Linked DNA regions of Caenorhabditis elegans. The protein of the gene in region 2 interacts with the protein of the main gene of each other region in a pairwise test. Each region holds a gene or a part of one and is shown on either strand. Other genes may lie near its edges. The genes, in order: T20F5.6 and txdc-9.

Region 1 (3,924 bases), on a different chromosome or scaffold from region 2:
TGATTTTTCTTGTTTTTTAGAAAAACAGTTATATGCCTTTTTATGTTTTTTCAGCAACATAAGTAAACACAATTTGATCAAAAAAGTTGAATTTTAAGGGTCATTTCCTGAAGGTTTTATTATTATTTTTTTCAAATTTTTCGATTTTCTCTGAAAAAAAAAGGAAAAACACTTTTGGTCCCAGATTTTTTTTAAATTGAAAATTAGTGTCAAAATGTAGAAAATCACTTGATTTATCTGAAAATAATATTTATTTCTGCTGAAGCATTGGAGGAAGTGCTCAAGAATGACCTGAACGTATATATTTTTTGCGTTTTCTAGATATACGCCATTTGTGGCATTTTTCCGCGAAAAAATTTGAATTAATGTTCAATTTTCGATTTTTTTTTTGGCTATTTATTTCCGGATATCAAGTTTTTTACCAAAAAATATCTCAAAAATTACAAATTATTTTTTTAATGGAAAAAAAAACCAAAGGCCATTTTCTGAGGAATTCAAAAATAATTCAGCCATTCAGAATTTTTTTTTGCAAAATTTTTTCTAAAAACCATAAAAATTCAGAAAATTTCTATGTTTTTCTATAATTTAAACGTTTTTAACATCATAAGCCTCCGTTAAATATAAACTTACAATTTTGTCTACATTCTTCAATTCTTCCTCGGAAATCTCTTTCTGGCACGTTTCGTCTGAGCATGTTGTAGCTCTGAAATTTTTCATATAAATTAAAAACCGATTTTTTTCAAAGAATCTTACTCAATAGCGCTCACTGTCGTGTGACACTCGGTACATTTCACAGCTTCCGGCTCTTTTGTTGATTTCTCCTGCTGTCTTTGCTCTAACAATGCTGAAAAAAAATCGATTTTTTGTTTTTTTTAAGGGATTTGGCTTCAAAAAATTTCAAAATAGTCTCAAATTCCAACTTTTTTCGTTTTTCAGAACTACTTTCGATTTTTGAAGCCAAATTTTAAAATAAAATCTCACATTGAATGCAGAAATTAGTTGGAATCTTATCGGCCGGGGTGGTTAAGCTGTAGCGAGTATTTTGTCGGCACGATGGACAGATGACTGTGTTTCCGCCGAGAAAAGTTCTGGTGTTGAGAAGTTTTTTGATACATTGGAGACAAATCGTGTGACCGCATGGAAACACTTTTGGAATACGCTTGCCGGTGTCTGAAAATTTACATTTTAGCGGGATTAAAGGGATTTTAATTTAATAAAATTTAAAAATCGACTTAAAATTAGAAAAACCATAAAACAAAATTTACGATTTTTTCAATTTTGACCAAATTTGCTCCAAATTGAGGCAAAATTGAATTTTTCATTCTTCTGCGATTTCTACCGTTTTTTTTCTGGTTTTTCTGAAGTCAAGGCTAATTTTAAATGTTTTTCAACAAATAACTACTAACTAAACGGGTCATAACAGATTCCGCACGACAATCCTTTCATTTCGGTGCCCTTCGACGTTAAAATTGTATCGTCCGCCTCATCCTCCTTTTCTTTTTCATTTTCTGCCTTCGGAACGTCAGGCGTGGCAACTGCTTCCGGCTGAGGTTGATTATCTTCCCGGTCTAAAACATTTTCAGCTCCAGCTGCTGGCTCATCGTTATTTGCATCATCTACTGGATCATCGACGTTGATAGCTGCATCTATTCCTCCAAACGGATGAGCAAAATCGTCCATCTGGGCCATATCTCGGAACTCTTCCACTGCAATAAAAAATATTATTTATTGATTAAAATAAAGGACGAGTGGGAGGCAATTCTACAAAATTACCTATTGCACTATTATTATTTTAACATTTTTCATTAAAAATAGCGTTAAAATAGAAAATCACTTGATGTAATTGAAAATAACACCTGAACATTCGAAAACGTGTGGAAAAATGAAGCTCAAGTTTTATAATTCGATAATCGACAATTGACACCTTTCAGGCCATTTTTAAGCACTTTCTCAAATGCTTCAGCTGAAATAAAGGTTATTTTCAGATAAATTGAGAGATTTTCCATATTTTGACACTTATTTTAAGTGAAAAATGTTGCAACAACGTGGCGCAACAGGTATTGATCGCTGGAAACTGAATTTCAAAATTTTTCGTATTCAGTAACTTACTGTCGTCTTGCAATTGTCTTTGCAGGTCACGGAGTCGAACATTCAAACCATCAATGTCGAACGGATCCATTTGAGAAATTAAAACGGTGTATTTTTGAAGGAAATAACTCTGAAAAACTTGAAAGAAATGTAATTTCAAAAGAAAATCAGTAGGACATTAAAGGGAGCGGACACGCTTGTGCGAAATGGTTTCGCAGCGGAGTAAAAGTTTGTGGTCGTTTTTCGTCATGTACCTTTAAAATCACAGTACTAATGCCGACTCATTTTTATAAACATCGAAAAAAGGCAAATTTACCTAGAATTCTGATACAGTAGTGAATACAAATATAACGGAGTCACGACAGAATACGTGAGAAACCAGAAAATAAATTTAAAAAAAGGTAAATGAATGCATTTATAAAATTGGGTTCTCAAAGACTATCCGATTCGAATATTCGAGCAATAAATAAAAGAGCACGAAAACGAAACGAAACGAGAAAAAAACATTTGGGGAATGGAACAGTAATAAATAAAAATAGAAAAATGATACGGAAGAGAACACGTGGAATCAAAAAAACATTCAAATTAATCAGGATAAAAGAAAGAGCTGAGGGGGGACGGGGAGGAGGTGGGAGAGACCAAGAATGTGTGGAGGAGAAAAGAAACTTAATATAAAATGTGAAATATTTTCATGCAGATCATTTTGTATGAGGTTAAAACTTCTAATTTTGAGAACTAATAGCGGATGAGAATTATGAAAAGCCCGAATATTTATTTTCTAGTCATCTCTTCGAGAAGGTTATTCTATTTTCTCGTACGGCGACGCTTTGGAAGTGGCTCCGGCTCGATAACTTGGACTTCATCTTCGGCTGAAGTGCCTGGACAACTGTCGGTAAACTCTTTGAGACGTTTTGCAGATGGTTTTGTCATACATCCTTCGAACACTGAAATATTGATTTTTTCAAATTGAAAATATAGATTTAAAGGGGGATTTTTCGATTTTTTTTTTGGGAAAATAAAATTAGATGTTTTTAAAGAAAAATAATATTTTCAGAAGCCCTTCGAAGGATTACATTTTTTAATTTTTTTTTCGAATAAAATGTTTCGGCATTTTTTTAAATATTAACCCGAAAATGGCTAATTTTATAGCAAAAGTTTTCAACTAAAAATCTCAAACATTTTAATAGCGGATAAAAATTTCGAAAAAGGGTTAATTTCAGCTAAAATGAAAGCTGATTGGTCAATTTTTCCGTTCTTTTTGCATATTTTTTTCGCTTTTTGTGGCGAATTTTTGGAAAATAGCTTTGAAAAATTTAGAAAAAAATTCGACTTTTTTAAAAATTTGATTTAAAAATTTTAATTGTTTTTTAACTTCTAAACAATTTTTTTTTTGATTTTTCAAAAAAAAAGGAAGAAAAAAAATGTGATTTTCTTCTAAAAAGCTATTTTTCGAACAATCTAAAATCTGGAATTTTTTAATCGAAAATGTTTGTTTTTCGATATTCTACTATTTTTCGACGACACCGCCCTTGAGGCTCAGTCTTAAAAAACTATACCAACCTCCAAATCCATTCTTCGGAACTTCTTCTTTCTGCACCAGCTCCATCTTAAGTGATCCAGATTCCTCGCTTACTTTCAGCTCAAATGTCTTATGAAACTCCAGCTCTTCGAGTTTAACCGGTGGCTTTGTGCACTTGATAGCAGATTGACCAGCTGCCATGCTGTTAACCTTCGCAAACTTTTCAGTCCCGCCACGTGTGCGACCCTCATCATACACAACTTGTGGCATCAGAACTCCCGTCTCAATACTAATTCCATTTTCAGTAATAAACTTCA
Region 2 (3,792 bases):
TAAAAACTGGTTCATTGAATGCCATGTCTCGCTTCAAAATTCTTCCACTGATGGTTCTGATCCAAATGTACCAGGAAGCTGGACGAGGAGAATATGCGACAGCTGAAAATTTGATACGTTTTGTATTTAAAATTTAATAGTAAGAAAAAATTACCGATTGGACCTGAGAATTGGCAAGCCGTAAAGTAAACGACATATTTGAGATTTAACGAGTTTGTTCGTAGATACTCTTGTGTGAAACTGAAACCGAAGTGTTCGAAAAGTTTCGAAGTTTGGGAAGCCCGTGTAATGCCGAAAAATTTAAACTTACTACAGCTGTTGATCTCCCAAAAACACTGAACTACTCGGACGAAGACACAACTCTCCATCTAGTTTTGGTTTTGATGGAGCATGAGACTCCCCCATTTCTGGAAATACATTATCTTAATATCTAAAATACTTATTTTACATTAAAAATAATTCTGGATATTAACCGAACGGCTATTTTTCATTTTTCAAAGGATAATATGCTCTTTATTTGCGATTACGAAATTGTGAAAAAGGTAGATAAAACAGCAAACACGGGAGGAGGAAAGCGAAAAAATGGGAAATTATGTGAGATCAAAATGCACATAATTATCAGCAAATGAGAATATGAAAACAAGAAAAAATCATCTTAAGATGGCATCTACCAATCCTCTTCGTTATCGTACTCCTCAACTCCTGATCTAATGATTTTCTTTTTTGCAGGAGCTGTATGCTTCTTCTCGACAGTCAATACTTCAGATCGAGCCAATCGGTTTTCCATGGTCTCGGTGGTAAACTCATCTTTTCCTCCCAATTCATCAAATCCACGAATGTAATCGACGGTTTGTTGCTTCTAAATTTATTTTTTTTTAACTAAATAATCTGGTACAGATGCCAACAAAACTCTATGAAACTAGTCAGATTTGAATTATACAACTTCAGAAAAAAAAATACTATAGCAGGAACCACATTCAAACTTACCACGACGATAGCGATGCTTGGAATGACACGAATATTGAGACGAGTTGTCAGGAAATGAACCTTCTCGGCGTTGACATGTATGAATCGTGTTCCAACATGCTTTCTAGCCAAGATCTCGAAATGCTTATCCACAATTTTGCATCGGAAGTTTCCAGGTAAGTAGAAAAGACAGACAACTTTATCGCTTTTCTTTGTAGCTTCGAAGAACTCCTTCTCGTCAGCAACTTCCTCGTATTTTCCGTGCCCATGAGACAACATCTCAATTCTGTCTTTTTGAGCTTTCTTCATTTGTTCCATCCGTTGACGACGAATTACCTCAAGATCGTCTTCTTCTAGGTTCTCAAGTCTAAAAACACACATGACAAACAGTTTCTACATTTCAAAATTACTTATTCATCTCCTGGTCGATCTGTTCCTCGACAACTTGAGCTGCTCGTAAAAGCTGCTCCCCAAACTGCTGTTGAATATTAGCGGCCATTTTCTGAAAAATTTAACAGAATTAAATTCAAAATTTAGGAAATTGGAAAGGGAAGACGGCATAATAAGAGCGGAATAAGAGGCATATGACCACCTGGAATTCTAATTACACCCTTTTTATGCCTGAAGGACCATAAAAATCGATAATGAGAAGCTACGAGAATGTTTGGAAATTCCATGAATTTATTCCAAACAATTATTTCTAGCTGTTCAGTAGAGCACACTTGTATGCTTGCACGAAACTGTGCAAACACCATCACGTCAGAATGCACACACACTTGGCAACAATTTTAATTAAATTTTATTCTTAATTTTCAGTTTTTTCGGTTCAGTTTGTATTTAAAAATAATTATTTTGATTTAATTCTTCTATTATTTATTGTGTTTCAGATGCCGAAGACCTCTGTGTGGAAAACGCGCGTTGGAACGCAAATTTTGATGGGTAAAATCACCGACATCACTCAAATTGGAATTGATAGAATTCCATGTGCTCAAGTTGGTTCAATTCTTGAAGACTTTTCGAAGTGTATTGTATTATTTTAGGTAAGATGTCAGATGAACGAATTCAACATCTATCTGAAGAAATATTTCGCCCGATCGTTCGACTTCTGGGCTCTCGACAAGTGAGTTTAAAAATAAGTTGTTTAAAATACCTGTTTTAGAATTACTGCATTTTCTCTGAACTGAATTTATCAATGTGAGAATTACATTTCAAAATTGAAAACATTTTAGAACATCACTTGGAAACATCGGAGATACAGTGCTCATCAAGCAGATCGATGGTTCTTCCCGCCCAAAGGCCAACGTCTCTCATGCTGTTGACCGTGTAGTGTTTAAATTCGGAAACATTGTCGATCCAGTCACAGGACGCAAAATATTCAACGACACATTCGCCGATGAGATTGATTTGAAGAAGGTTTTAGTGGAAGAAGTTGTGGATAAACCATTAGAAGAAGAATCAATGCTATTTGAAGAGAGAAGAGCCCTACAGATCAGAAGATTAGAACAGGAAAAAGAGGCAAATGTGTAGTTTTTGAATGTTCTGAATTTAGACGTTTGATCTGTTTTTACTTTTTGGGAATAGTTAGTTCGTTGTTGTTTATTGTTTGTCGATATTTACATTCAAAAATGAAATGTTTCTTTAAATTTTATTTTTAAAACTTTATACTTCAAGGTTGACTTGATCCTTGTATATTTTTCCAAATTATTTTTTATAATTTTATAACTACAAGTAAATTCAAATTCAAGATGGACATCTCACGTCCGGTGGTTGAGAAACCTATGTTTATAGAAGTCGAAAAGTTCGTGGAAGCTCGAACAAATTCCATTGCACAGCTACTAAAGGTAATTTTTACAACTATAATCTTCAATTCTTCCAAATTTAATTTTCAGGCTATTGACAATGACGCCCTTGTGTCTGGTGAAGTCACAAAAGGTCCAAGAACTGCTGCTCAAAGATTGCCACGTCACATGAGAAGAAGAGCGATGGCATACGATATTCGTCGATTTCCAAGAACAATGAGAGAGTTTGCAGCAGCACATTTAATTTCAAAACATGCTAAAAAGTGTCCAAGTCGGTTTGCGAGACGAAAAAGTGCAAATTCTCGAACAGTAAGAACCCAAATTAACTAAATACTAAATTGCTCGTTTTTTTCCAGAAATTTGGCAGAAGCACCAGTACAAAAGGTATCTGGCTCTCGACACATGTTTGGCATGCGAAAAGATTTCGAATGATTCAAAAATGGGGTTTCAAACTCGCGGATCGCAGCTTTCAACGTGGATTTCGAGCAGTTTTAAGAGATTCTAACAAGAATTGTGTGATTCGAGATAGATCATATTATACATGTGTTACTGTAAGTATTGAAACCAAAGAAAACATTAAGTATTTAGACGTCTAGATTTTTTTCCTCTTAACATTTAACATAAAATTTAGAAAAAAATCTAACATTTTCGTTTTCCCTATATTTCCAATAAAAATTTCGATTTTTCGAAATATAGCTTTAAATTTTCCTCATTTTTCTTTTCTTTTTTAAGACTTTTTTTCATTTTTTATCAACAGTAAACAAAATTTGGTAAAAATTGAAATGTTTCCGATACTTCCATTTTCCATAAAATCAGATGACATCTTTGTTTGAAATAGTCCGAATTCGGATTTTATTTTTCCACTTTTAGTATGCTTACTATTCAAAATCTAAAATGCTTACTATTCAAAATCTAAATTTTCAGATTCAATGCACCGATGCTTATTCAAAAATCTCCCAGTTCTCACAAAAAGGATGTCGAGGGCAGTCATCACGCGATGAAGAAGAGGTAATCATTGAGAGGGAGA

Evidence for each region.
Region 1: the proteins of txdc-9 (region 2) and T20F5.6 interact in a two-hybrid assay, tested with the Caenorhabditis elegans proteins (one large-scale study listed by BioGRID).

The regions. Positions count from the first base shown.
Region 1 is NC_003279.8:3,922,945-3,926,868, forward strand, and holds the start of T20F5.6 (RING-type domain-containing protein), read right to left. Parts: upstream 2,219-3,924; 5' UTR 2,180-2,218; coding exon 2,110-2,179; intron 1,707-2,109; coding exon 1,407-1,706; intron 1,171-1,406; coding exon 982-1,170; intron 845-981; coding exon 754-844; intron 704-753; coding exon 631-703; intron 1-630. Other genes in the region: T20F5.7 (RING-type domain-containing protein), read right to left, coding at 2,893-3,032, 3,649-3,924.
Region 2 is NC_003281.10:6,429,854-6,433,645, reverse strand, and holds txdc-9 (Thioredoxin domain-containing protein 9), read right to left. Parts: upstream 1,469-3,792; 5' UTR 1,466-1,468; coding exon 1,377-1,465; intron 1,334-1,376; coding exon 988-1,333; intron 860-987; coding exon 668-859; 3' UTR 501-667; downstream 1-500. Other genes in the region: vps-16 (Vacuolar protein sorting-associated protein 16 homolog), read right to left, coding at 1-102, 155-240, 311-405; mrps-17 (Small ribosomal subunit protein uS17m), read left to right, coding at 1,854-1,958, 2,007-2,086, 2,196-2,493; Ribonucleases P/MRP protein subunit popl-1, read left to right, coding at 2,745-2,807, 2,856-3,074, 3,122-3,316, 3,690-3,773. UniProt on the Caenorhabditis elegans protein: Required for normal microtubule organization and function. Regulates tubulin acetylation in ALM and PLM neurons.